Mus musculus: one gene and its partners. The main gene of each other region encodes a partner of the protein of the gene in region 7 in a complex. Links are inferred from orthologs where the notes say so. Each region holds a gene or a part of one and is shown on either strand. Other genes may lie near its edges.

Region 1 (3,500 bases), about 65 Mb from region 7:
TTTGACCTAACAAGTTGAGGGTCAAGATGCTGCACTGAGCCACCTCCATGCTGAAAGGGCCTGAATGGAGACTATGGACTCTCATCCACCCTCTGACTTCAGATGCCCACTATGTTTAACGACAGGGCTAAGGTCATATGGTTTACATATGTAGCTTTTTCCTATTTAAAAATATAAGCCAAATAACTCACAATGAGCACACCAAGTTTTCTCTAACCCCAGCTTACCGGAAATCCTCCAAGTGCCTCTGAACTTCAGGGTGGACTCTCTCCTGCATTGTCTGAATGTAGAGGCGATGCAGATCCTCAGGAATAAGCTCAGGTCTTCTCTTTTCTGCACAAAGAAGAGGAATTAAGTGATCTAAAGAGATGGTCTATGCAGCCTGACACTGGCAGCACAGTGACATTGCACATCCACACTGAACTTACTACACCAGAGAACTTACTCAGTGCAGTTACTGCACTTCCTGTCAGAAGCCAGCTCTCATCCTTTCATCCTCTCAGTGTAGTAGACTCTCTTTCAGCTGTGAGTCACATGGTTAAAGTAGCCTGACTAAACTAACATAAAACAGCGGATCTGAGGCGAGCCACAGTTTGATGGAGACACTAATCTTCAGGGACTCGGGTGCTTCAAACTTACCTAGATCCACGGAGATTTCCTCAGGAACTGGAACCTTCAGGTGCTGAAACAACACAAGCAGAGTCAGAGCTGCCCCGCAGGCTTCCGGGGCAGACTGAGGAAGGTGTGTAGGTTTATCCTAAAGGTGTTTGCTAATCCAGCTGTTCTTGCCCGTCCAAGTGACACAGCCCTGTCTATTGCTTAGACATGGAAATAAACTCTTTCCCCAAAGTTCTGCTGTGAACAAAGAACTAGCCATTTTATCGGGCAGCAAAATAAATGCTTCGGTACCACTCCACGTAACTATCTGACATCAGCTTACTATAAACGCTGGTCAATATAATCAGTTATGCATTACCTGAAATGATACAAGTAAACCTAAGCTATGCGTCTATTATATAGGAAAACTTGACTCACATAAGTATGATGTTCATGTCTGAATCTGAGCGGCTCATCCTACAGACCACGTGATTATCAGTAATGTTCTTAGCTAACTGTTAAATCCCTCAGCAGTACACTGCCGATGAAAAAGTACTGGATGTTATGTTGAGTTTTTGAGTCTTAAACTCTCAACAACAATCAGTAATAATCAGTAGTTCCTGCAGTAGAACTGAAGCAACTATTTTAAGATACACTTCTTTCTATCAGGATTTCTCCCCATAAGCATGAAGAATTATTATCAGACTATAATGTTCTTTACCCAATAACTAAACAGAAAATCTTATTATTTTGTATTCAGAGGAAATATCTTGGTTCTTATACAAATTTTATACTGTACACCTATTAAAGTCATATATTTCCTAAATTTATAATTCTTATAAAGATCTAAAGTTGTAAATTTGAAAATAAGTCAGTGTTAAAATATTATGAGACCATTACATAATTTATTTTGGTGTGTGTATGTGATGTGTGCACATGTGTGTAAGTATTTACACTTGTACATGCATGCATCTGTGAAGGCCAATGTTGGCTTCTACTATCACTCTCTACCCTATTCTTTTTTTTTTTTTTTTTTTTAAAGATTTATTTATTTATTATATGTAAGTACACTGTAGCTGTCTTCAGACACTCCAGAAGAGGGAGTCAGATCTCGTTACGGATGGTTGTGAGCCACCATGTGGTTGCTGGGATTTGAACTCCTGACCTTCGGAAGAGCAGTCGGGTGCTCTTACCCGCTGAGCCATCTCACCAGCCCCTACCCTATTCTTTTGAGACAGGGTTTCTCATTGAACCTGATACTGACTGATCTATTAGCCTGGCTGGCTGCAGAGTCCCTGGAATCCTTGTCTCCCTGTCTTCCCTCCTGCGCTGGGAGTACAAGTGTGCACAGCCACGCCTGGCTCCTTATGTGGGTGCAAACATCTAATTCAAGTACTTATACTTGCACAACAAGCACTTACCGCTGAGCAAGCCATCTCTGGCCCCTAAGAAGAGTGAAATGGCAAGACATGTTCATACATGTCTGTAATCCCAACACTTGGGAACCAGAGATGGGAGAATCTTAAGCCAAAGGCCTGCCTGGGCTAAAAGACTCTGTTTCAATGATATGGAAAAGGGAAAGACGTGAGAAACAGAAAACAGAAATGTTCTTTTAGCACACATGCAAAAAAGTACATGTGGGTTAGCAGTGTAGCTCAACAGCACAGCCTTGCTGAGTGCACTGAGACAGGGGTGTGATTCTAGCACCACAAGAAATCAAATAAAAACTAATTCATTTACATATGGACATGAGTAATATAATTTTGACTGGTCACATGAAAGAAGAATCAATACGTTAGTATGGATTCTCCTAACACTTTGCTGCTGGCACAGCTCCTGAGCAGCCGACAGGCAGGCAGGCAGGTAGATGCACAGTTCGAGGGAAGTAGGTGATCCATCCACACTTTACACTCTTTCCAGGAAAGCAGCAGGGTCAGAGCTGGGATGCAGAGACAGCTCAGTGGTGAAGAGCATGTGATCTCGCAGAGTTCACTTAGGGCCTGACCCTGTCTTCTGTCACCCATAGTCCCTGACACACAAGTGGTACATTACCCTCACAGACAACAAACATACATGAAAATAAAAAAATCAGTAAAATAAAAAACAAAGTCTTCTGTTGAGGAATCTTGGAGAGAAGTGATGGAGACTAGAGTTTAAAGCAGCCATCTAAGAGAACAAGTGTGAACAGACAAGGGCTGGCAATGTGGCAGACGAAGTGTTTGCCTAGCACTTATGAAACTATGGGCGTCATCCCAGCACCTCATAAAGCACCTCATAAAACTAGATATGGCCGGTCGCAGATGCCTTTAATCTCTGCAATTAGGAAACAGGCAAGACAGTAAGTTTAAGGTCATTTTCAATGACATGCTGAATTCATGGCTGACGTGAAACCCTGTGTAAAACTAAAGGGATAAAGAATATGGGGAGGGGTGGGATGACTGCAGAGTTCCTACAGACAAATGCTTGCTAAATAAGCATGAGGACTGAGGACCTGAACTTGGGCCCTCAACATCCACATAAAAGCAGGGCACAGTGGGTGTGGCGGGGAGGCAGATGCAGGAGGATCCCTGGAGCACACTGGTCAGCTGATCTAAGTCAGTGACTGAGCTGAGAGTCAGTGAAAGACCTGGTTTCAACATAATAACATGGATGGCTAGGGAGATGGCTAAGCAGGGAAGGAGTTTGTTATTCCAGCCTAAAACCTGAATTCAATCCCTGGGACCCACACAGTGGAAGAACTGACTTCCACTGCTTGCCCTCTGCATCTTAGCACAAGTATACATGAAACACACCAATAAAAAAACTAATTATAGTAAAAATAATAATAATAATAATAATAATGTGAGAAAGACACCTGATGCTGGCCTCTGGCCTGCATGTGTATAAGAAGATGTGTGTATGCA
Region 2 (3,500 bases), on a different chromosome or scaffold from region 7:
CACACACAGGCAAAATACTGCAATATTATTTTTTTGATCCAAAGGAGTTTGTGTGTGTGCATACATGCATGTTGCAGCATGAATGGAGGTCAGAGGACAACCTGTGGGAACTGACTGTCTTTCCAGTGTGTGGGTCTGGGCATCAAACTCAGGTCATCAGGCTTGGCAGCAAGTGCCTTCAGCCCTACGCCACCTCTCCTCTTTTCCTGTAGACCTCATCATGTGCCCAGCTGACTTGAGCTCAGGTCTGGCCTGAGTGCTATGGAGCCTCCTGTGCTCTCAGCATCCCTAGAGTCTTCTGTATTGTTTAATCCCCTGAACCCAGGCCTGCCTGGACACGGCTAACGAGTGACATCCCAGTGGCTTACCTTGTTGAGCAGGAACTCGTCCAGAAACTTGAGCTCATTGGCATTAGTGATCTTACGGAACACTGACTCTCGCCACTTCTCGGACACTGTGATCTGGCCAACTTTGCGATTTCGGTTCTTCTTCCCTTTTAGGGGCTTCTCACCTGTGGTATGGCGGTGCTGCTGGCTAGAAGGTACTGCAGGGACATAGGGCAGATGGAGGCAAGGTCAGAAATAGGCACCCAGATGTATACCCAGGTCCACAGTCATCTCAAGGTCAGGTCCTGCTGCTAACACCTGACGGCTGTGGGTACGGCCAGGCAACTGCTCCTGGAGGTTAAGGGGAACCAACCGTCTAGAGTCTTCCTGGCCGGGGTCTCCTGTGCAGCCTGCCCTCCATTGCTCTCTGTCTCCTCTACACCCTCCAGGCTGGGCTTCTTATCCTTGGCTTTGTGCAGGAAGAGCCGCTTAAATGCAGATCTGCAGGAAAAACAAGTGTTTCTTTTTAACTTTAACTTTTATTGATGGGTATGTATGTGTTTGTGGGGGTCTGCTATGTGAGTATAGCACCTTCAGAGGCCCAAGGAGGGTGTAGGATCCCTCTGGAGTTACAGTGACAAAAGACTGAGTCACCAGATGTGGGTGCTACAAACTGAATGCCTGCCCTCTGGAAACAGATATTCTTAACCACAAAGAAGTCATCTCTCTGGAAGCAAGTATTCTTAACCATGAAGTCTTCTCTCTAGTCTTCTCTCTCTCCCTCCCTCTCCCTCCCTCCCTCTCCCTCCCTCTTCCCTCCCTCTCCCTCCTTCCCTCCTCTTCCCTCTCCTTCTTTCCTCCCTTCCTCCCTTGAGACAGGGTTTTACTATATACATCAGGCTGCCCTGGCACTTGGAGACCTTCCAAGTGCTAGGTTAAAGGCATTCGTCTGCACATCCAGCTGTGACAGGGGCCTTGACAACCTTGGCAGCTGGGCTGTGTGTGAGCAGAGCACTTTCTTTTATCAGTGTTGCCATGGTCATGGTGTTTCCTCACAGGCAATACTAGATGGCAGACTCGTCCATCTGTGTGTCATCAGAGCAGAAGACCTGGTCTGGCTGTGGCTTCCTGAGGCACCACCACCATGTGGCCAGCCAGGTGCGAAAGGTTAGTGGGCAGGTGTTCAGCAAGGCTGTTTGGAATTGTGCTTCAAACAACTACTGAGCCCAATGTGTCTCATTGTGAGTCACTTGACATGGGAGCCTCATTGCTGCAACCAGCTTAGCAGAGCTGAGGCGGGGCCCTGGGTGTCTCTAGTGGAGGTACCCTGTTCACTTACTTAGAGTCACCCTGGGAGCCTGGAGACAGGCCTGCATCAGGACCAGCGGATGGATCTCCTGACTTCTTCTTATGGATGGATGGCTTCTTGCTGCTAAAGTCCCCATCGATTTCAGCTGAAGTCTGCCAAGTGATAGGTGTAGGGAGGGCAGGGTGAGAGTTACAGCTGGGGCCCAGACATGGATCAAACTTCCCCATCTTCACCCATCAACACCACGATGAGTTTTCTATCTTTAATGATTCTATTTTATATCTTGATTTTCTGAGACAGGGTTTCTCTGTGTAGCCCTGGCTATTCTGGAACTTACTCTGTAGACCAGGCTGGCATCAGACTCAGAGATCCATCTGCCTTTGCTTCCTGAGTGCTGGGATTAAAGATGTGTGCCACTACTACCTGGCAAAGACTTTTCTTGTTAAATTACGTATGTGTGCAGGTGCTCACGGAGGTCATAAGGAGATCCCCTAGAGATTGTGACACTTGATATGGGAGCTGGGAGCACAACTTGTGTCATCTGCAGGAGCAGCAAGTGTTCTTAAGCACTCAGTCATCCCACCAGCCTCTCATTTTACCTTTAGAGAAAGGCTGTCAGGCTGCTAGGAAGCATGTGGGCTTGTATGTGTGACCCTCCTGCTCTGCCTCCCAAGTGTCAAGATGATAGGTATACACTGTCGAGATCGCTCAGCATGTGTGTGTGTGTGTGTGTGTGTGTGTTTGTGTGTATACACGTGTGTGCTTATGGGGAGGACGTGTATACTGGGGGGAATGTGTATGTGTGTGTGTACATGTATGTATGTATGTATGTATGTATGAATATATGAATGAATGCATGTGTATGGGGCATTAACAGCTTTACCTGTACCTTGACTGGGGACAGCTTGGAGACGTCACTGGTGGAGAAAGAGATGCGCCTCTCCCTGTGAGACACAGACCACAGTGTTACTAACATGCACCATGCAGAGGGTCTCAGACCCAGTGTAGTGACTCTCAACCCAGGTGGGGTTAGTCTTACTCATCCCAGCAAATACACACAGAGAGGTAAGAGAGCTATGCACTGTTCCGTGCATCTATCCCTTGTTTCATCCATTCTCTTATCCATCCACTTGTTCATTAGTCCACCCATCTACTCATCATCCAGGGACCTGTCCATCTCCAATCAACCTGACTTTCCATCCACCACCTACCAGCCCACTAGTCCATCATCTTTCTATCTCTCTGATCCATCATCTCTATACCTATTCACCTGTCAGATCCATCATCCACTGACCCTCCATCCTGCAAACCACTGACCTGTCAGGCCACTAGCATGTGATGGGAAGGGCCAGTGAGAACTTTCAACATTCTGATGCAGGATGTCCCCACAGACAACTCCTGGCCTCAATCTGTCAGTACCACAGCCAAGAGGTCCTGTGTAGGCAGCCTGCCTCTGCCTCCACACTCCCTTCCTTCAGTCCAGCAAAGGTCTCAGGGGCTAGAGATGTGGTCCCTAGATATCAGTTCATATAGGTGCAGTCAGTGGTGCCTTTTTTATAAGCTATGGGTAGAATTCTGTGAGTGAGCTCCAGTAATGGAGGGGAAATTGAGACCCAGGGATCAGGGAGGGAAGGAGGACTCAGAGGGTCCTGCCTTCCACAGCCAGCCTCTTACAGACTGCCAGGCAGGTACACTATGTTTGGAGGGGTGGGGATGGTCAAACCTTACTCCGGCCTGGACCTAAGATTCTTCTGCCCTTTGTGTTCAACTCTGCAGGGCATGTCCCTATTTGGCAATCTTGGTCACACCTGTTTATGGCCCTGGGGCCCTGAGCTGGTGTTGCCCACCCTGGTGCCCTCAACCCT
Region 3 (4,224 bases), on a different chromosome or scaffold from region 7:
TTCCCCAGCCAGATGCCTTGATTGTGGTGCAGGCAAAAATCCATTCTGAAAGCAGGACCAATCCTAAAAACACAAAAGTGACAGAAGTGTCTCTCTGTGCCTGAAGTCACCCACCCAGGGGATTAAGGCAAAGAGCAGCATGGAGCACACAGCAATTCCTCTGATTTGTTGAAGGAATGAAAACTGAAGAAACTTTTCACAGAATGAGAAGCATGCAGGAGAAATTTTCAAAATGTCCGATTAAGTTTAGACAATATAGTTTCAATACCATTATAACGACAGTTGTCACCAGGGCTGGATGAAATTACAGAGTATAATCTGCTCCAGGCAAAAACCTCTCCTGGTAAGCAAGAAAAATATCTCTAAGCTCAGCTTTACCAAAGCAGGAGATTCAAACCCAAGCCTTTGGGGTGGTGTCATGTTTCCAATACAGTTGTAACATGACAAAATTCCCTGAGTTTCTGGGCTTCAAATCTACTACTGTTTTTAATTTAGTCCAGCATGACCCCACTCTTGATACTAAATCTGACCTGAAGTCACAGGGACAAGCCCGGAGCTTCTTTTTCCCACTGAAAGTAACACAAGTGCAACTTCAGTGAAACCAAACCTACACAGACCAGAGCTGTCTCAATAATACCCCAAACCCAGGGCATTCAGGCAGAATAAAATGACAGCCCCCTGGGACTGTGGGAGACATGCAGGCTCTATTTGGCTCTCTCCTAACCATTTACCAGCAAAGAAGAGGGTTCCAACATTTACACTGTTCATCTTTTTTCTTTAAGAATCAAGACTTGATCACAAACTCTGGCAGAACTTGGTTAAGAGCCTAAGTACCGATTTTATATCAAATACTTCATCTTCAATAGTATAGTTGGCCACTAATACCCACTTGTTATTTTTTTTTTCCTCTTCTCACATGGCATACAAGGGAAAGAGAGTCACATGTATCAAACACATATGAAATTCCTGCCCAGTGGAAATCTTAGCCACAAGAATGGTTCCTTATGAGAACACAATAAGAAAATATTTCAGAATTTTCCAAATTATATATATATATTGAAACCCTAACAGGGCTAATGAGATATCACAGAACCTTCGTCGCCGACTCTGATTTCCTTCTGTACCTTTAAGTGTTTCTTAACCGCTTAGAGGCAGACGGTACTTCAGAGGAAAGTCCCTCCAACACACCTGTTAGACAAACTGCTGGCCATTGGCCTGGCTGTGCCGCCCTGATAAGGGAAAAAACAGTCCAAAGCAGAGCAAACACTGATTCTCTGTTCTCCAGTCTCATGTCACATTAGCCGGGACACGCCCCAGAGTCCCTTACCCAAGAACTAGTTCTGTGCCTCAGTTTCCCAAACCACAAAGTATCAAGTATGATGCTATCCAAGTTCTATAATCAAAAATAATTATGCATAATCACTATAAAGTCTGCATCGGAATATCACTTTGAAATGCTACAACCTCTCCAAAAGGCATCTGCAATGTTCTCTTCCTTCAAACACTCCAAAGGAGTTAGCGCTACTATTCATCAAGATTAGACAAACACCTATTTGTTTTAACATTCACATAAAAACTCAAAATAGAGCTATGGAAAGCTTCCCAGGAAAGGTTATCAGAGCTTGAATTATCGTGTTCAAAGTGGTTTCCACAGAGCCTAACTAGGGCAAGCCTTTGATTTTGTTTGTGTTGTTGAGAATAGAATTTCATTTTACTGAGACAGCTTCAGGGTCTAGGAACACGAGAGGGCAAAGTACAGAAAAGCAGTGTGTCCGTTCTTTATAACTGTAATTCTTGACTGCTTGGTGCAGAATCGAGTGCTCAATCTCTACAACTTGGAGTGTGTAGAGGCTGGCACTTGAGCAGGGGTCAGGGAGTCAGATGCTAGCAAACACAGATGTTACCCTTCCCCTGGGCCCACCCAGCTGCAACCAATAGGCAGGCTCTGTGGGCTCCTAAAGTAGTCTCCCTTAGAAACCTAACTGGTGTCTGGGAAACCAGAGCTGGGTTTCCTGGGTGGTCTGAACACCCAGCGTTCACAGAGCTCACAGCAAGCGAGAACGCCTTCTCCACCTGTGACCCCTACCACCCACAACCGAGTATTCCAGAGAAACTCATGGCACAAGCGCACGGATTCCCACCCAATGCTAAAAGCCCCTCCCAAACAAGATGACCATAGATGCTTTTATAAACTCAGCAAACGTTTCCACAAGAAATAAATGTCCTGAACTTGAGACTGACCAGCAGTCTGGGGTACATCCCACACACACACCAAGCATATAGGTGAAGCTGGCCAGAAACACAGATGGGAAGAGGAGAACCAGGCTCTCGAGGTTCACCCTTCTCCAGCCGCCTGCCTCTGATTTCCATCGCTTGCAACTAGCTTTGGTTGAGCTCCGTCACCCTCTGCCCCCTCCCACCCCGCTTGCCCGAGAGGGTGAGGGGTGGCCGCTGCCTCCCGTTTGCGCTTCACAGCTGCTGCCTCCGACCCGGCAGCGCCATGCACTTGTTGCCATCCCCAGGTACCAGGAGGCGGCGCCCATTCCTCGGGCTGCCCAGCCGACAGAGTGCAGCCTTTCACCACCTCTGCAGACCCCTGCGTCCTCGGGGACCCTAGAGAAACTTTGTCCCCTGAGAACTCCGGTGGGCAAACTTCGCCCAGGGCTGCGGGGAGACAAGAGGGATGGCTCCCGTAATCCGCCTTTACCTGGAGCTGTGGCTCGGGAACGCCAGGAGCCCTGGCCAGGCGCTGTCCCCGAGGCCTGCCGAGGGCGACCCGCCGGCCAGCGTCGCCCGGAGCGGGGAAGCCGGTCCCCAGCTGCCCACGCCCCTCCGCTCCGCTGGCCGCACCGAGGGGCGGAGCCGCAGCTCCCCCCACCCCACCCCACCCCCGCTCGCCCGCCCGCCGCGCCCACAGCTGGGGCCACCCCCTGCGCCCCCTGGTCCCCGCCTGCCCACCTCTGGCCAGCCGGGCTCGTCGCCGCCTCATCACATGGCCGCGCCCGCCACCAGCTCCAGGAGGAAACCTGAAGCTGCTGCGGCTCCGCCGCCCCCTCCCTTCGCGGGGCGGCGGCCGGTCGCCTCGGCTTTCCTCCGGCGGCGGGCACGGAGCGGGACCTGCTGGGCCAGGGCAGGGTTGCACCCTAGCGGCGGCGGCGCCCGCTCGCCCCGGGGGCCTCCACGCCCTAGTGGCGCCGGAGGAAGGAGCTGGCCGGTCGGCTCCTAAAGGGAGCCGTGCCAGGCCAGAGGGAGGCTCGGGTTGTCCTCAGCTCAAAGCCACCACACCCGGGACATAATAGTGCCCGGGTCTGTTACAATAGGAAGTACTATTTTAAAACAGCCGACTCCCTCTAATTCATGAGGATGATGGAGGTTCCTCTGGCCCAAAGCTTTGCAGGCTCGATTCCCTATGCGTTTATGCAAACAGGTGCCTAAACGGCACCAACATTTGTTTGTTTGTTTTTGAGAAAGCCATAGCCACTTTTACAACACCTAACAATGTGAAAGGACCCCTTGGATCTTAAAGCACTGAGGCACTTAGCACTGAGTTGTCCCGAGTGAAAAGTCTCGCCATTGTACAGCTTACTATAAAATAAGCTTAAGATGATTATTCCAGCTTTAAAGATAAAATTAAGCGTCTACTTTTCTAAGTTCCTTTAATATTACCTTTATTTTTCTCAAGAAGACAGACCGACTACATGGACAGGAGAGATGTGTTGGCCCGTCCCAAACCATCACTGCCAGATGCCCTGGGCCACCCTCCTAACATACCTGTTTAACCAGAGCCTAAAGAATGGCAGGATGGCAAAAAAAAACCAAAAAAACAAAAAACAAATCAAACAAAAACAAAAAAACAAAACCCAGGGTCTGAGGTCTTTAGCCCTGTCTTAGGGCAAACGCTGCCCTTCCTTCTTTATAAAGGACCTGACATTGGCCTTGCAGTATTGACACTTGTATTCATATCCTCTGATGTCACACTGCAGAACCTTAGGTCCCAAAGAAGAGTGTTCTCCACTGAAGAACTACGAAGTCCCGAAGATAAAAAATAAAAGCAATAACACTTTTCTCGAACATCAATATTTTCAATGTGAAAAAGTCAACTGGAGATTGGCTGAATCAACACACCACACACAAGTAGTTTTCAAGCCTGTTAGCGGAAAAGTTTGTAAAAGAAGCCTTTGTTGATCCCTCTGTTGCTGTTGTTCTTTTGTTTCTTTTTCTTCT
Region 4 (3,500 bases), on a different chromosome or scaffold from region 7:
AACAAGAGAAAAAATGTTGGTCATATTAGCACATGCCTGTAATCAACCATAGCATCTGGGAGACTGAGGCAGGAGAATTACCACAAGTCCAGGGCCAGTGTGAGTAGGACAGCCCTTGGCATCTGTGATGGTTGTTTCTATTCTATTCTATTTTGCCTCACCATGTAGCCCCGGTTGGCCAGGAACTCCCAAAGATGTGCCTGTTTCTGCCCCCTGCGTGCTGTGATTAAAGGCATGTGGGATGAGAGGCCTGTGTCACTACGCCTGGCTCACCAAGGCTCAGTAACCACTTCTCAGCTCTGTGCATGTGGTAAAAACCAAACATGAAAACATGCCAGTAAAACTTTCTTTACAAAGGCATGTGGGCCTGGCAGTGCAAGCCTGTGGTTCCAAACACTCACAGGTGACGGCAGGAGGACTGAGAGTTCAAGTCTGGCTTAGGCCACAGGGTGAAATCTTTTCTCAAAAGAAAAAAAGAAAAAGAAAAAGAAAGGGATAGAGTGGGGGATGGAGGCAGAGACAGGCGATCTGTTAGAGGCAGCCTGGTCTACATAGATCAAGGCTAGCCAGAGCTACATAATGACACCCTATCTCAAAACGCAATCACAGGCTCGATATGGTAACACAAACGCTTAATTCCAGCACTCAGGAGGCAGAGGCAGGAAGAACTCTGCCTCTGTGAGTCACAGGCCAGCCTGGTTTACATACTAAGATCCAGGACAGGCAGGGCTATTATAGAAAGATCCTGTCTCAAAACTAAACTGAAAGCAACCAGGGGTGGGGCTAGAGAGATGGCTTGATTATAGAAAAGCTTTCTGCTCTTCCAGAGGAGTCTGCTTACCCAGACCCACGGCATATGACTCACAACCACCCGAGACTCTAGTTCCAGAGATCTGATGCCTCCTTCTGGCTCCTGAGGCACCTGCACACACACATGCACACATGCATGCACACAGGCACAGATAAATCTTAAAACAACCCTAAAAACAAGGGATAGGGTTTGCCAAGTACTACAGTGCCACATAGATTTTATCATTGAAGGGTTAGGGTCACGGTTCGATAAAAACACAGGCCTAGTTTATAGGAGTCCCTGGATTCCACCCTAACCACAACAAAAGGAAGGAAGGACAAAAGGGAGGGAGGGAGGGAGGGAGGGAGGGAGGGAGGGAGGGAGGGAGGGAGGGAGGGAGGGAGGGAAAAAAATCAGGTGGATTTGGCCTGAGGGTGGCGTTTGGCAACAACTATCCTAGCCCAAACCTTGAATGAAACAACCAGAAATAGACAGGAATAGGCATTGTGGGTTGCAGGTGGACCCCTGGAAGGCTGAATGCAGGCAGCCAATGTCCAAGAAGGGTCTTACCTTGGGCTTCATCAGGAGCTGCCTGACTCTCCAGCTCTCCAGCCTGTAGTGCCTGGAGCGCTCTTCGAAGCTGCATGCGGATGATGTCAATCTTGGTCTTACTGTCCTGCAGCATCTGCTGGGCTGTCAACAACAGCTTCCGGTCCTGGGGACAGACATGGAAGGTGGCAGGCAGAGTGGGAACTCAAGTCTGAGCTGCTGTCCACATCATAACAGGTAAGAGCAAGGACACATAGTCCCAGCCTCCTGGGCCAGTGCAGAGGCAGGCAGTCCATGGGCTTCAGTCCCAGCTCTGCTACCCAACAACTCAGTGTAGCTGGTCTTTGCTACTTCATGTGTTCTTCTTTTTCCACCCTTTATCCCCTCAGTTTCACCCCCATCACTAGATAGGAGAGAAAGAGGGAGAGAGGGGAGGGAGAGAAACAGTAGGGAGAGAGGGAGAGGGAAGGGGAGGAGGAGAGAGAGGGGGAGGGACAGGGACAGAGAGAGGGATCGGGATCCTTGGGTCTAATTTCTCTCTCCTTTCTCCTTTGAGCACGACTACTAACAAACTGCAATCAACCCCCTGTATGACCAACAACCGCCAACCCTGCCGACTGGGGCCGTGCTGATTTATGTACCCTCTGAAAAGTCCCCAGAACTCCAAATGTCACCAATTGCAATAACTATCTGCAGCTGGCAAAACTGTGCCCCTGCTAGAGCATGAGGCAAATCATAGTCAGCTGCTGTGGACAGTCTGGAGCAGCCCATATTCCACTCCTGGGATTATAATATTTCTGTGTTTTTAAAGAAACCAAAACTCTAAAGCTGTCACTACGTTTCTCCCTTCTGTTTTAAGCCATGAACTGTGTGTAGCGGGAGATTATAAACAGACATTTTCAATGAAATAAGTGCTTTTCGGGTCCGTGGCCAAGACTTTCAGGAGCCCTCTCCTGCTGGGTTCCTATCTTGATCAGTTCTGATGGGACCCACAGCTTTTGCTTCCCTGTGGAAATATAAACACATCTGCATCCTCCAGGCAAAGCTCTCACTGGCTTCCGCTCTGATGTTCTTATAGTATATCGGTTGATTTAATTCCATGGTTTTTCCTATAACCTGGTGACTCTCTCTTGCTGAGTATTGAGGTTTTTCTGCCTGCTTGTTATTTCCCGGCTGACAAGAAGCAAACTGTTCCTACTTTTTTTCTGTGTGGCCTCAAGATAGGCCGCAGGGCCAATTCTGGATAGTTAGAAACTGCCCTGGATAACTCTCTTGGTCCGACACACTCATCAGTCCAACAGCAATTCTTGCCACATCACCTGCACACTCCTGGAGACTGGACCTTCCTTCTGGTTTATATTTAGAAAACACATTTCCTTATACAGATGCCTCATTCAATTTTTTTTCAAATGACAATATTTCCCACAATTTAGCACCAGGCATTTTGAGATGTAAGACTTTTAGCGGCTTAGTCACAGTCTCTTTGCAAATGACTGAATTTCCTGTAATTGAAGTACCAGGCATTTTGATATTGGACACCTATAGCTAAACCTGACCTACTATATTAGCATGGCACATGTTAGATCCAACATTGGTCATATCCCTTATCCAATCATCTATAGGCACTGCTTGAACCTTTAATGGTCTAATAACTTTTTTACATTTGGTATTCAAATTTTCATAACCAAGTCCTCTATCAACACCTGTCTTGCTTGATAGTCTAATATGGCTTTGTTCACAGCTGAGACTAATTTTTGTAAAAAAAATAAAAATAAAAAATAAGCCGGGCGTGGTGGTGCACACCTTTAATCCCAGCACTCGGGAGGCAGAGGCAGGTGGATTTCTGAGTTCGAGGCCAGCCTGGTCTACAGAGTGAGTTCCAGGACAGCCAGGGCTACACAGAGAAACCCTGTCTCAAAAAACCAAAAAGAAAAAAAAATAATAATAAAAATAATAAAAAATAAAAAAATCAGTGAAGGCCTCTTCAGAACCTTGTATATAATCTTTGTAAATGAGGTGGACTTTCTCCTGGGCTCCTCAGCTTTGTCCCAAGCTCTTTTTTTTTTTAAGATTTATTTATTTATTTATTATATGTAAGTACACTGTAGCTGTCCTCAGACACTCCAGAAAAGGGAGTGTCAGACACTCTAGAAGAAGGAGT
Region 5 (4,060 bases), on a different chromosome or scaffold from region 7:
GACTACCTTAGCAATGAGGACCTTGAGTGGTTGCTTCTTTGACTCTTTACCTATCACCTTTTGATCTCTCTCTAGGGTATTCCTTTTCATTGTATCAGTTACAATTTGTAATCTATAGAAATGACTTCCAAGTCATAATTTGTTATTGTAAGTTAATTCCACATCTACAATAGTCTACAGGACATTACCGCACACTCATCTCACTATCTTGTCAAATACAGCAAATTATCAGTAGGTCTATTCTCAAGCAATTCCCAAACTTTATTATTTTCACCATTCTTACTATTTATAACCCAGGCTCAACATTTTTGGAGTTGTTTGACTAATGCCTCTCTGGTTCTCCTCAACTCAATCACATTCCATCAATTCTTCCCTCTTCATTTTCATGTCCTAGCTCAGGGCTCCAATTGAGTGAGGACTATTAGAGTAATCTAAAAATTCTCCAATCTCACTTTATTCCCAGACTTTTTCCATACAAACCTATCTCACAAAGAACTAATGAATTAATTTTCTTCATTCATTCTGTGACAGCCCAATTACAATCAAATCCTCCAAATCTAACCCCATCCTTCCAACTTTACCTTGTTTCTTAAGCATGTCACAGCCAGTCACGGATGCCCATTCACCCTCTATCTGTTATCCTCAATTCAGTAGCCAGTTCATCATAAAACACACTCTGGCTCTCTCAACTCACAGTCATTTTTTCCCCTTCAGTTTCCATTATATAGACAAGTGATTGATTGAAAAATACTGAATAATCATTTAGAATTAATCAGTTGTTTTCTCAATCTGTAAACTGTTTACTTGGTTTCTGTATATGTATATAAGAATGTTTTCCTAAGTGGATTCAACTCTCTAAAAAGTCCATGTAATATGTATTTATTTTCTTTATACTCCCCACAGCTCTATCAGGTTCCTACTGAATGGTACTGTAACAAAAAAGAAAACTAGCAATTAAAAAAAAAAAAAGCAAGCTCCAAAACCCTCCTTATAATCTACTTCCTAATAGGAGGAGCAAAAGTAAAATCGGGTGAGCAGACTGATGGTGGAGTGCTTGCCTAGCTAGCATGTGCTGGGCTCAACTGTCAGTACCACTAACAACAGTAATAAACCTAACAACAACTTACGGAACTACTGAAACACTATCAGACATGGAATACATTAGAAATGTATAGTTAAGTATGTTTAGAGCAATTCTGAAAGCTTTGATGAGAAACCTTACATATTTAAAGTACAGAATAACTGAAATATTCACTAATTTTAATTTACAAAATTTCCTGATTCAGTATGAGATTTTTAAATGTATCTCTCTGAATGGCATTATTCTTAAATCTCCAAACTATTGAGTATACAAAGTAAATTCTCTATCTCATGTCCAGATAGAGAAATATGATTTTAGAGATCTTGTGATTTTGTTTAAAAACTAAAAGTATTAATATATAATTTTTAGTTGGTAGTAAACGGAAAAATTCCGTTGACAATTGTATTGGCAGTACTGAAATGCCCATTATTACAAATAATTGTATTTGCTATCAACAACTGGGTACTTCTTATGGTAGGATTTTGGCTTTTTGTGACCTAAAAACTTTAGAATGTTTTAAAGTGAAAATAATTAGTTTACTACCAGCAAAAAACAGTTCTTAATATATGTGAAATATATTTACTAACTGTTTTAAAAGCCACCAAACTTGTGTTGGCCTAAGATTAGTTGTCGTAGGTGTATGCATTTAACGTTCAACAGTTTCTTTAGCCTCAAGACACCTAAAATTTTATCTTAAAAATCATTTCCTCTGTATTAATTTTCCATTATCATTTCCAAGTCTAAACTCCATAATTCTATAAATAGAAAGTAGATTTTTCAATCCTACTGTCAAACTAACCAGGGAGGTTAATACTAAGATTGTCTTTCAACAAGCTATACAATAGAAACGTTGACGTGTTGACGTCCTGATACGATGGCTGCAATCGTAGTTTCTAAGTACGCTCGGTGGACTGAGAAGCTGATTCAAAACCAGAAGTTCAGAGTAGCTAACATAGAATCACTGGAATTGCCAACAAACAAACAAAAAAACCAAGGTGGGGGGTTGAACTATGATATTTACTGGTGCTCCAAATTTCTTGCAAGAGAGAAATCTGGCACCTGCCCAAAACTATGCACACCTGAGACTCCTTGCAGTTAACTAGATTGCAACCAACCACCCAAGGCAACCCAGAGAAAACAGCAGCACTCACCAGCAAACAATCTGAATTCACTTCCGATTTGGGATCCCGCAGCAGGTTGTCGATTTTTTCAAACCGAGTCTCAAAACTGTCCCCAGTCGACATGATGCTGCTACTTGTGACGATACCTTCTTGCCCGCAGCGGAAAGCAAGTTCAACCAACTTCCTCCGCGGTGGGTTTGTAGCCGCAGGGCAGAGGAGCCGGAACCTCGGGGTCACCAGGTGCGCCCGGTTCCCCCTCGTCCCCCTCACTGAGGGGACCTCTGCTCTCCAGACCCCAGGCTCGGTGTGACAGCGACCCGCAGCCGCTCGGACACCCAAAGTCGCATCCCACCCGGCAGCCCCTCGCGACAGCCGACAGCGCCGTCGCCAGCAGCCCGGTCGCTCCGGCGAGGCACCTCAGCCTAGCGGGCCCCGGCTGCCTTCGCCATGGCGGGGCCCAGTCCAGAGAAGGGCAGCGGCGGGAAGAGGGAGCGCAGCAGGGTGGAGACTCCCTCGGGGCAGCCAGGGAAGGCGAAGAGGAAAGGCGAAAGCGAAGGGTGGGTGAGGAGCTGCGCCAGCTGCCGCCGCCGCCGCCGCCGCCGCCTGGGCCCCGGGCCGGCCCCGCTCCGCTCAGAGGCGCTAGAGGTGGTCTAGCCCTGCATCCCCGGTTCCACTCGGCCCGGCACTGACTAGCCTCGGCCAAGAGCTGCTCCCCACAGAACAGGCTCACTCTCCCATTTTCTGCGGTCGCTGCTGGGGTTGCTAACGCGGTGTCTGGCGGGGCAGGGCGAGGTCGGAGGCCCGATGAAGTCTCAGGGGAAGACCCGCTGCAGTGGGCCGGCGAGGAAGACGACCGTAGGGGCCGTGCGGCTGATGATGCGGGAACTTCTGGGAGGGGCCGCGGTCCGAGCTGGGAAAAGGGCGAGTCGCGGAGGCGAATGCCTGGGGGTGGGGCGAGGAGGGCTCAGAGGGACTAATATGTCCGCCTTCCTGTTCAAACAAACGGAGACCGCCGGCGCTCTGTGCGCATGCGCGGCGCGGGCGTTCGGAAGGGAGCGAGCTGGGCCTCGCGCACGCGCACGCAGGCGCCCGCCAGGGCGGGGCTGGCCGGGTCGCGTCGGGGAGGAGGGAAGTGAGGCGGGGCCGTACGTGGGCGGGGCCTGGCAGGCTGGCCCCTGGGCGGAGTCGGAGACGAGCTGGAAGACATAGGGGGGGGACTTTTCCCAGCTTCTGGTGGCGGAGCTGGCAGGCGCCCGAGATTCGCTTCCTTTGGGCCTCTGGTCCGGAGAATTCTGACAAGAAAAGAAGGCGCTTGTTATCACTGAGATAATTACTTTTTGCGGGCTAGGAGGGTGCTTTTCTTCTGGCGGTACCAGAGAGTTATTTCAGCACCAGTCGAGTTTGGATTTTCCGGAGCACTCTGGTGGGTTTTTCTTGATGCCCACCACGCAGAATCTGTTTACGTGGGAAAATCACCACGCACTCAGCGTTCCCAAGCTGTGTGTCAAGGGAGCCTTAAAATGTTGACTCTGGAAGATAGAATCATTAGAACTCAAAAACAGTTTAATTAAAGAGGAAAAATTCATAGGAAAATCAATGTTTGTAAGCTATTTCTATTCGTTTCTCACAGCAACTTGTAGTTCTGTCCTGTCTGTGAGATTCTGCAACTTCAGGGCATTTAGTAAAATTTAAAATCGTGGTTTTTATTACAACTAAAGTGGGATATGAAAATAACGGGCATTTCCCAATTCAGTTTTTCACTGACTGTAGGGTGACAGGCTGAAAAAGGTTTCTGATTATGGTTTTCACTGCCTTCAGTAGGTGTCCAACCTGTATTTGATTCTAATCAACCCTTGGA
Region 6 (4,204 bases), on a different chromosome or scaffold from region 7:
CTTTGCCCTATTAACCTTTTCATTACTTCTGGTGGGTGGTAGGTTAGAATGGAGGTTGAAGCATTTAAGAACCCTTATTAAAGTAAGTTTTGAAAATAAGACAACACCTATAGGCTTATATATTTGAATGCAAACTCTTGAAAAGGATTAGAAGGATTAAGAGGTGTGGCCTTGTTGAAGGAGTATGTCACTGGGGATGAATTTTGGGGTTTCAAAAGCCCATGCCAGGCCCTGTCAGACTGTCTTCTGCCTGCAGATGGGGATAAAGCGCTCTGGCTACTTCTCTAGCACCATGTCTGCTTACATGCGTCCCATGATGATGATAATAATGGACTACCCTCTGAAACTGTAAGCCAGGCTCAGTTAAACCTTTTCTTTAAGTTTTGCCTCGATTATGGTGTCTCTTCACAAAAATGGATCAGTGACCAAGACACCTGGGCATGGGCCTTGCTCTGGAGTGTGGTTGATATACCAATACTCCACTGGAACAAAACAAAACAACAATTTTCCTTTTCCCAGGAGGTATCAATTGCAAACAGCTTCTTGGTTCTGAGTGGGATGGTGTGTCAACTCTCCCATTCTCAGTGCTAGGATCTTGTCTGGTTTGAACCTGTTGCAGGTCTTGTGCATTCCTTCAATCTCTGTAAGTTTAGATGTGCATCAGTGCTCTTATGTCTGGAGGATACTGTTTCCTTGGAGTCATCTACCAACTCTGGGCCCTAGAATCTTTCCTCTTCTGCACAGAATCAAAAAGGCTTAAATTCACTGCATGATGTGACCAACGCCTCCCAAGAGAATCTAAGGTTCCTGAGAGCAAGCGCTCCATCTGCTTTTGTTCACCTGAATCCCCATCATCCTCAACAGTGTCTGATGCTAGGGCAGGTGCAACTGTATTACACTGAGCACACGTGGAATGAAGCACTGCTTCTGTTCATCTTCAGGAAGTCCTCCTTTTCTGCTCCTTCACTAGCCCATCCTAATTCTTGTAATTCTCAGTCTCAAAGATGCCTTCTTTCTGCACTCTGACTTCTTAAACACACGGTCTGATTGGAAGAGAGGAAGTTTCAGAAGGCAAGAATTCTGGTAAATATTGCCTTAAACTTCAAACTCATAAAAATCAGTACTAACTGAAAGAATCTAGCTCTTTATAGAGTTACTTAATACAATGGGTTTGCCCATGCCTTGATAATGAAAGTAAGGTGTTTGCTTTTTCCTCAAAACCATTTGTCATGATTAGATTATAAGCTATATAAAAGATTAATTTAACATCCTATCAAATGACCTGGGCGTCGAGGTTCACACTGCAATCCGAGAACAGGGGGAGGCTAAGGAAGAAAGACCAGTTTTTAGGCAGAACGGTTTGGAGCCTGCTTGGTGACAATTCCTCTTCTCACCAATAGTCCTATGGATGTAAGACCACCTACAGTCCACCAGTTTCCATGGAGAACAGCTCTGGTACAGAAGTACAATATGAGTTTGTGGCCAGCGTCTCTACACAGGTAGTGAGTTCTGGGGTAACCAAGTTACACAGTGAGAACTTGTCTCAGAAACAAAACCAAAAAAACCCTGAAATCATGTCAAGTGGACCATGGGGATGTCTGAAAAGATGGAGCAGACACAGCACTGTTACTTTAACAGATTTAAAACTGACAGACAAGATTTCTGCCGAGTTTTCTGCCGAGGCCCATGATAAGTACTGATGTTCACACAGTGCCTTATATGAGGCAGACACTATCATAAACTCACTATGTAGACGTAGATTTGAACAAAGTTACATACTTTGTAACTCAATGTCTAACGTTATAATGGGAAACCATTGCATTCAGTACTTTGAGACCATTTCTCATATTTCGAAGGGCAAAAGAATGACAGAGTAGTCCAGACAAATGCCATTTCAATTTCCTATTTAATAAAAATATTATGACTCCCACAGCCTCTCTTCCAGACACAGATTTCTGAAATCAACCTAGTGTTTGCCTTTCCCAGACACATAGAAATGAAGATACAACACAGAATGTGAAAATGTGCTAATAACTGAAAAGCCAGAAAGAGTCTTTCTCTGATCTCTTCATTCCAGGAGCCTGTCCTGTTCTGGTCTGCAAAGGACATTTCATTTGAACAGCCGCTTTTAGGCTGAAAGGGTTGGTATCTGTTCAGGTGACAATTCCTCTTCTCATCACAGGGTCCACGACAGTCTTGATCTGAGCGCCTGCATCCACAACTAGTTTCTGGTAGAGAACAGCTCTGGTGCAGATGTACGGTTCCCCAGGGACGGGGTTAAAGGAGATTGTCAACAAGTCCAACGAGTCCACCCCTTCTACGCAGGGCCGAGCAGTCGCTGTGCAGCCCTCGGTGCAGCCCGCCGGGCAGCGCACTCTCCTCCCGCGGCATTTCTGCCCGGCCTTCCCCAACCTCCCCTACTGCACTGCCAGTCCTTGGTCACCCACCGTCCAGTCCATCCCGTCCTGAGTCTCCAGACTCGGTCCCCGGCTCTCACCCACCTCCCGCCACCCTCACCTCTCGTTCGCCGCCGGCCCGGGTGTGTCGGCCGGAAGCCCCGCGGCAGGTTCCTCGCTGAGCATTGAGACCCTGCGGCTTCTCCTCCGAGGTCGGGGCTGCTTCTGAGCCGCCGGCTCTGGCTCCATGTCCGGAGAAGGGGGGTTGGTGGGGCGGTGGCCCAGTGCCCAGGAGACCGATCGTGGCGGGCACAATGCCCGCCAGCTTCTGCGAGGCAGCAAGTCGCCTTCTAGCAGAGAGCGGCTACCGCCGTCATCCGGGGATTTGAAAATGGCGGCTGCCCAGAGATCGGCCAATCAGAGAGTGGGAAGCGGTTGCTAGGCTACGTGGAGTCCCGCCCTAATCAGAAGACTTCATACCAAACTTTTAGGAGCTCCAGTGACAAAGGGAAAGTGGTAAGGTGAAAGTTAGGAATTTGGGGATTTATTTTAACTACACACCTTACTCCTGAAAGGCAGTCTCTATTCACTAGAACTTTCACTTGCAGGGCAGGAAAATGGATCGGAAGCTGTTTATCATTTGTTGTTGTTTAGCGTTAGACAGGATGAAGGTATTGACCCCAAAGCAAGAGGCAGTTGGACGTATAAACACTAAGTTATACATGTGGAATATATTCCCAATTGCCAAAGACAATACTTTGTTCTCCAGGATGTCTCTAGAGAACCAGTGAAATCTAGTTATGTACTCCTGTCTTTCAGTAAGTAGGACACAGTCGCTTTACCGAATGGAAAGGGCTGCTTTCTCTGCTTGCAAGACTGCAAAACGTGCAGCATGAAACAAGGGACCCTGCTCAGGTTATTATGTGAAGATTGGTAAATAAAAACGTTCTCTGATTTTAAATATCGCTAATGGTCTTAAATGTAGTCTCTCTTGTATACAGGGAGATATTAATGATGTTGTGTATAATAGAAAAATTAAAGGCAATCTAAATGAATGACTGGGAGATGTCTAAATATAACTGATTAACTGTGAAGACTGCATTCAGCCGATAAAGAAATGGTCTTCTTCAGGGAATACCATTGGTTAGCCAATACTAACAGCTAGCCCTGAAAACATACAAATAACATCATACAGACTGAGCTGGCTGTATTTGTGTATTTAGGAACATATATGTATAACATATTGTTACATATTGACTATGTAACAATAATTAATAAAAAGAGTCCATGAATGTGAAAGATAGCAAGAAGGGGTATAGGAGAGAGTTGGGAAGGAGAAAAGAGAAGGGAGAAAATGGTGTGATTATATTATAATCTTGAAAATAAAAGAAAATTAAAAATAAGAGGTATATAGTAAAACAAAACATTGTGATTTTAACTGAAAGCATAAAATATGAAATATAGAACAATGATGGCTAGTTTTATGTCAATTTAGAAAAATTCTGTTTTAGGGTTTTACTGCTGTGAACAGACACCATGAAAGAGACAGCCCTTATAAGGACAATATTTAATTGGGGCTGGAATACAGATTCAGTCCATTATCATCAAGGCAGGAACATGGCAGCATCCAGGCAGGCATGGTACAGGAAGAGCTGAGAGTTCTATATCTTCATCTGAAGGCTGCTAGCAGAATACTGGCTTCCAGGCAGATAGAACAAGGGTATTCAAGCTCACACCCACAGTGACACACTTACTCCAACAAGGCCATGCCTCCAAACAGTGCCACTCCCTGGGCCAAGCATATTCAA
Region 7 (3,500 bases):
TCAAAAAACAAAAAACAAAAAAAAAAAAAAAAAAAAAAAGAAACATACACACTATAGCTTCTGCTGGCCAGGAATGGACGAGGTAGCTCCTGCTGGAAGTTTATCCCTTCTGCCTGGGCCTTCCAAGTACTGAGATAACAGGCATGAACCACCATGTCAGGCTGTAAACTTACTCATTTTCCAGGTTGTTCATTGTCAGTTTATAAAAATACAATTGCTGTCTTTTGACAGACTTTCTATGCTGGAAATTTGAACTCAGATCCTTTAGCCTAAGCAGCAAGCCCTTTACTAAGCCAGCCTCTTGACCGATTTATTGGTTTATTTTGGTTTGGTTTTGGTTTTGGTTTTTGGTTTTTCGAGACAGGGTTTCTCTGTATAACCCTGGCTGTCCTGGAACTTACTCTATAGACCAGGCTGGCCTCGAACTCAGAAAGTGCTGGGATTAGAGGCGTGTGCCACCACGCCCGACTTGTTTTGTTTTTGAGTCTCACTGTGTAGCTCTGGCTAGTCTAGAACTTACTGTGCACATCAGACTGGCCTCAAACTCCCGTAGATCTGCCTGTTACCATGCTCAAACGGTATCCCACATTATTACATTATTATTCACTCTGATCATTGTGTGTGCTTTGTTTTTGTTTTTAAAGATTTACTTATGTAATGTTATTAGTACACTGTAGCTGTCTTCAGACACACCAGCAGAGGGCATCAGATCTCATTATAGATGGTTGTGAGCCACCATGTGGGTGCTGGGAATTGAACTCAGGACCTCTGGAAGAGCAGTCAGTGCTCTTAACCGCTGAGCCATCTCTCCAGCCCCAATGTGTACCTCCTTTCTACCCATATGGCTACTAGTATGTGTCATAATCTGAGGCTACTTATGTATTCTTATGCATTTTAAATAATATCTTTTGTTTTATGTTTAAGTGATGGCTGCCATCAGGAAGAAACTGGTGATTGTTGGTGATGGAGCTTGTGGTAAGACATGCTTGCTCATAGTCTTCAGCAAGGACCAGTTCCCAGAGGTCTATGTGCCCACGGTGTTTGAAAACTATGTGGCGGATATCGAGGTGGATGGGAAGCAGGTGAGTACAAGTCCCGCGAGGGAGAGTCGGTGCCATTGTGTGTTGGGTACTGTGTACACAGCGTGACCAAAATGTTAGAAACAGAAATCCATTTTCTTTCTACCACCTTTTTTGGGGGGGATTTGGACGAATTGATTGGTTGGTACTTGGATGTTGAGACAACTCAAGCTGGTTTTTGTTTTGTTTTTGTTTGTTTGTTTTTTGTTTTTGTTTTTTGAGAGTCAGGGTTTCTCTGTACGGTAGTCCTGGCTGTCCTGGAACTCACTCGGTAGACCAGGCTGGCCTTGAACTCAGAAATGCGCCTGCCTCTGCCTCCCAAGTGCTGGGACTAAAGGCGTGCACCACCACACCCGGCTGATTTTTATATCATTGTTGAACCAAGGCTGGCTTTGAACCCATGATTTTTCTGGGCTCCATCTTGTTTATTTTTGAATCAGGGTCTTATATATTCAGGATTTTCCTTCCACCACTTACTACATAGATAATTACAGGTATATGTAATAGTGCCCAGCTAGTGTAGTGGGTTAGACTAGCTGCTCTGCTCTCCAGAGTTTCTCATTATAGAGCACTTTTTTGGGCTAAGAATACAAATAATGTAGGGAATACAAGCTGGGCATGGTGATTCATGTCTGAAATCCTACAGTATAAATTCCAGGTCAGCTTGAGTTAGAGAGTAAGGTTGTCCGTTAAACTCAACAAACAAGTATGTATGTATATAGGTGAGTAAACGGCTCTCAGGATATAGCTCAGGATAGTAGTGACCGCCGCTATTCAGTCTCCAGCACCACATGAACCAGATGTGGTGTCACGGGTTTCTAATCCTAGTAATGGCAGCAAGAGACAGGAAAACCAGACATTTAAGGTCCTTTTCAGCTTCTCAGCTACATAACAAGTTTGAGGCCAGCCCGGAGAACATGAGGTCTTATTACAGTAAAGTATAAAGGTATTCCAGACTAGCATAAGACATAGTAGCATACACACATAATCCCAGCACTTGGCAGGCAGAGTAAACCCTGCCTCGGGGAAAGAAAGAATATTGGTGTAGTGATCCAGACCTGTAGTTAGAGCAACTTAGAAACTTGGAGCAGAGAGATCACAAGTTAAAATGAGCTTGACAACTTGGAGAAATCTCTCAGCCTTAGTGCGCACGCGTGCGCGCGCGCGCACACACACACACACACACACACACACACACACACACACACACTCACACACAGAGGACTGGTTATGTACCTGAACACCCTTGGGCTGGGGACATTGGAAACCTGCATATTCTTTGAAGGTGACCTACCTTTGCAGTGTCTTGCCACTTCAGTCTCAGTATTTGCATAGATGCTTAGATCCAAGTGTTTCTGTGGACCTGATGGGGACTGGTTTTTACGGATGTCACATATAAAACCATAGGTGGAAGTTTGCTGAGGTCTTTTTGACCTTTGACTGTTGCCATGATAGCCTTCTTGATTGAGATTTGCATATCTATAACTATAATTTCCTAAGTTTGGGAGTCAGCAGTATTTCCTCTTTGACATATTTTCTGAGCCTGGATATCTTGGATAAACCAGGATCTTGTCTATAGGAAATTTATTGATGAAACTGAGAATGTAGCTTAGTTGGTAGAGTTTTTGCCAGAGCCTGCATGAGGCCCTATATTCTCTTCTAGAATTTCATAAAAACTAGACACGGGAAGCACATACCTACAGAGTTGCCATTAGCTACTCCTGAATTTGGGGACAACCTAATTTTCCTGCAACCATGTCTAGAAAAGAAAAATAGCATGCTTACTTAAATCTTTGAGCAGGGCAGTAGTGGCGCACGCCTTTAATCCCAGCACTTGGGAGGCAGAGGCAGGTGGGTTTCTGAGTTCGAGGTCAGCCTGATCTACAGAGTGAGTTCCAGGACAGCCAGGGCTACACAGGGAAACCCTGTCTCGAAAAACCAAAATCAATCAATCAATCAATCAATCAGTCAGTCAATCTTAGAGTAATAATCCATAGTTATCTTTCCTGTGCTGTTATTCTTGAACACAGCTTACCAGGAAAGATAGGAGAGTCCTTCATTTAAGAAGACATCTCTGAAATAAGGGAGTTTGATCTGAAAAAGGGTATCCATAGGTATTGTCTACCTCAGAGCAATTCAGGAGCCACCGAAGGAGAAAAGTTACTTAGTCTATTAGTCAAAGTTTGATTTTCTTCCTTGGGTGGCCTTTTGTTCTCATAACATGTTAATCTAATAAATACTTTCATTATTTTTTTGAAATTATTATATAGTTAACCTTATTTGCCCTTCCAACTCTATCTAAAATAGTGGTTCTCAACCTTCCGAATGCTGCAACCCATTTTCATTGCTTCTCCATACCTGCGATTTTGCTTCTGTTCAAGAATTGCAACATAAATATTTGCTGTGCAGGATATTTGATAT

Evidence for each region.
Region 1: the proteins of Rhoa (region 7) and Arhgef12 are in contact, whole or in part, in a crystal structure (PDB 1X86), measured with the Homo sapiens proteins. The link is inferred for Mus musculus from reciprocal best matches to the Homo sapiens genes RHOA and ARHGEF12. Residues at the interface, in NP_001300870.1 of Homo sapiens: Arg5, Lys7, Thr19, Lys27, Val33, Tyr34, Pro36, Thr37, Val38, Phe39, Glu40, Asn41, Val43, Asp45, Glu54, Trp58, Asp59, Ala61, Gly62, Gln63, Tyr66, Asp67, Arg68, Leu69, Leu72, Ser73, Asp76, Glu97; in NP_056128.1 of Homo sapiens: Pro766, Asn768, Gln770, Glu790, Val791, Glu794, Thr798, Ala801, Cys888, Gln891, Pro892, Lys899, Arg922, Arg923, Leu924, Gln925, Lys927, Asp928, Pro931, Thr932, Met934, Gln935, Thr938, Lys939, Leu942, Leu943, Asn946, Arg968, Leu971, Asn972.
Region 2: the proteins of Rhoa (region 7) and Myo9b are in contact, whole or in part, in a crystal structure (PDB 5HPY), measured with the Homo sapiens proteins. The link is inferred for Mus musculus from reciprocal best matches to the Homo sapiens genes RHOA and MYO9B. Residues at the interface, in NP_001300870.1 of Homo sapiens: Asp13, Gly14, Ala15, Glu32, Tyr34, Val35, Pro36, Val38, Phe39, Gln63, Glu64, Asp65, Tyr66, Arg68, Leu69, Leu72, Asp90, Glu93, Asn94, Glu97; in NP_004136.2 of Homo sapiens: Glu1731, Gly1732, Arg1735, Lys1736, Ser1737, Gly1738, Ala1739, Ala1740, Arg1744, Lys1772, Gln1773, Arg1776, Arg1840, Met1841, Ala1845, Ile1848, Ile1849, Pro1852, Cys1853, Arg1856, Pro1863, Leu1864, Ser1866, Met1867, Val1870, Thr1874.
Region 3: the proteins of Rhoa (region 7) and Arhgef28 are in contact, whole or in part, in a crystal structure (PDB 6BC0), measured with the Homo sapiens proteins. The link is inferred for Mus musculus from reciprocal best matches to the Homo sapiens genes RHOA and ARHGEF28. Residues at the interface, in NP_001300870.1 of Homo sapiens: Arg5, Val38, Phe39, Glu40, Asn41, Tyr42, Val43, Glu54, Ala56, Trp58, Arg68, Leu69, Leu72; in NP_001171164.1 of Homo sapiens: Lys1140, Ile1142, Arg1144, Glu1145, Val1146, Ala1147, Asn1148, Glu1149, Phe1154, Ile1156, Ala1158, Ser1159, Ser1160, Pro1163, Glu1164, Met1165.
Region 4: the proteins of Rhoa (region 7) and Pkn1 are in contact, whole or in part, in a crystal structure (PDB 1CXZ), measured with the Homo sapiens proteins. The link is inferred for Mus musculus from reciprocal best matches to the Homo sapiens genes RHOA and PKN1. Residues at the interface, in NP_001300870.1 of Homo sapiens: Met1, Ala2, Phe25, Ser26, Lys27, Asp28, Gln29, Val43, Asp45, Ile46, Glu47, Gln52, Glu54, Thr163, Lys164, Arg168, Glu169; in NP_002732.3 of Homo sapiens: Glu40, Arg43, Arg44, Ile46, Arg47, Leu50, Lys51, Lys53, Glu54, Glu57, Asn58, Arg60, Arg61, Leu77, Arg78, Ser81, Leu84, Asp85, His88.
Region 5: the proteins of Rhoa (region 7) and Rock1 are in contact, whole or in part, in a crystal structure (PDB 1S1C), measured with the Homo sapiens proteins. The link is inferred for Mus musculus from reciprocal best matches to the Homo sapiens genes RHOA and ROCK1. Residues at the interface, in NP_001300870.1 of Homo sapiens: Val38, Phe39, Asp65, Tyr66, Arg68, Leu69, Leu72, Pro75; in NP_005397.1 of Homo sapiens: Lys999, Val1003, Asn1004, Leu1006, Ala1007, Met1010, Asn1011, Arg1012.
Region 6: the proteins of Rhoa (region 7) and Net1 are in contact, whole or in part, in a crystal structure (PDB 4XH9), measured with the Homo sapiens proteins. The link is inferred for Mus musculus from reciprocal best matches to the Homo sapiens genes RHOA and NET1. Residues at the interface, in NP_001300870.1 of Homo sapiens: Arg5, Lys7, Tyr34, Pro36, Thr37, Val38, Phe39, Glu40, Asn41, Tyr42, Val43, Asp45, Glu54, Trp58, Ala61, Gly62, Gln63, Tyr66, Asp67, Arg68, Leu69, Arg70, Leu72, Ser73, Pro75, Asp76, Pro96, Thr100, Pro101, Glu102; in NP_001040625.1 of Homo sapiens: Glu177, Ala178, Glu181, Gln270, Leu271, Lys274, Lys281, Gln291, Leu294, Glu295, Arg300, Lys301, Leu302, Asp303, Trp305, Ser306, Asp309, Arg312, Ser313, Arg314, Val316, Lys317, Leu320, Leu321, Glu324, Gln347, Leu350, Ser351, Ile353, Asn354.

Annotation. Positions count from the first base shown.
Region 1 is NC_000075.6:43,001,219-43,004,718, forward strand, and holds part of Arhgef12 (rho guanine nucleotide exchange factor 12), read right to left. Parts: intron 683-3,500; coding exon 640-682; intron 334-639; coding exon 228-333; intron 1-227. UniProt on the Homo sapiens protein: May play a role in the regulation of RhoA GTPase by guanine nucleotide-binding alpha-12 (GNA12) and alpha-13 (GNA13). Acts as guanine nucleotide exchange factor (GEF) for RhoA GTPase and may act as GTPase-activating protein (GAP) for GNA12 and GNA13.
Region 2 is NC_000074.6:71,349,214-71,352,713, reverse strand, and holds part of Myo9b (unconventional myosin-IXb), read right to left. Parts: intron 2,580-3,500; coding exon 2,519-2,579; intron 1,788-2,518; coding exon 1,666-1,787; intron 828-1,665; coding exon 700-827; intron 545-699; coding exon 369-544; intron 1-368. UniProt on the Homo sapiens protein: Myosins are actin-based motor molecules with ATPase activity. Unconventional myosins serve in intracellular movements. Binds actin with high affinity both in the absence and presence of ATP and its mechanochemical activity is inhibited by calcium ions.
Region 3 is NC_000079.6:98,203,366-98,207,589, forward strand, and holds the start of Arhgef28 (rho guanine nucleotide exchange factor 28), read right to left. Parts: upstream 2,801-4,224; 5' UTR 2,708-2,800; intron 1-2,707. UniProt on the Homo sapiens protein: Functions as a RHOA-specific guanine nucleotide exchange factor regulating signaling pathways downstream of integrins and growth factor receptors. Functions in axonal branching, synapse formation and dendritic morphogenesis.
Region 4 is NC_000074.6:83,685,680-83,689,179, forward strand, and holds part of Pkn1 (serine/threonine-protein kinase N1), read right to left. Parts: intron 1,506-3,500; coding exon 1,361-1,505; intron 1-1,360. UniProt on the Homo sapiens protein: PKC-related serine/threonine-protein kinase involved in various processes such as regulation of the intermediate filaments of the actin cytoskeleton, cell migration, tumor cell invasion and transcription regulation.
Region 5 is NC_000084.6:10,178,993-10,183,052, forward strand, and holds the start of Rock1 (rho-associated protein kinase 1), read right to left. Parts: upstream 2,801-4,060; 5' UTR 2,326-2,800; coding exon 2,233-2,325; intron 1-2,232. UniProt on the Homo sapiens protein: Protein kinase which is a key regulator of the actin cytoskeleton and cell polarity.
Region 6 is NC_000079.6:3,915,421-3,919,624, forward strand, and holds the start of Net1 (neuroepithelial cell-transforming gene 1 protein), read right to left. Parts: upstream 2,801-4,204; 5' UTR 2,646-2,800; coding exon 2,518-2,645; intron 1-2,517. UniProt on the Homo sapiens protein: Acts as a guanine nucleotide exchange factor (GEF) for RhoA GTPase. May be involved in activation of the SAPK/JNK pathway Stimulates genotoxic stress-induced RHOB activity in breast cancer cells leading to their cell death.
Region 7 is NC_000075.6:108,326,660-108,330,159, forward strand, and holds part of Rhoa (transforming protein RhoA precursor), read left to right. Parts: intron 1-924; 5' UTR 925-926; coding exon 927-1,082; intron 1,083-3,500. UniProt on the Homo sapiens protein: Small GTPase which cycles between an active GTP-bound and an inactive GDP-bound state.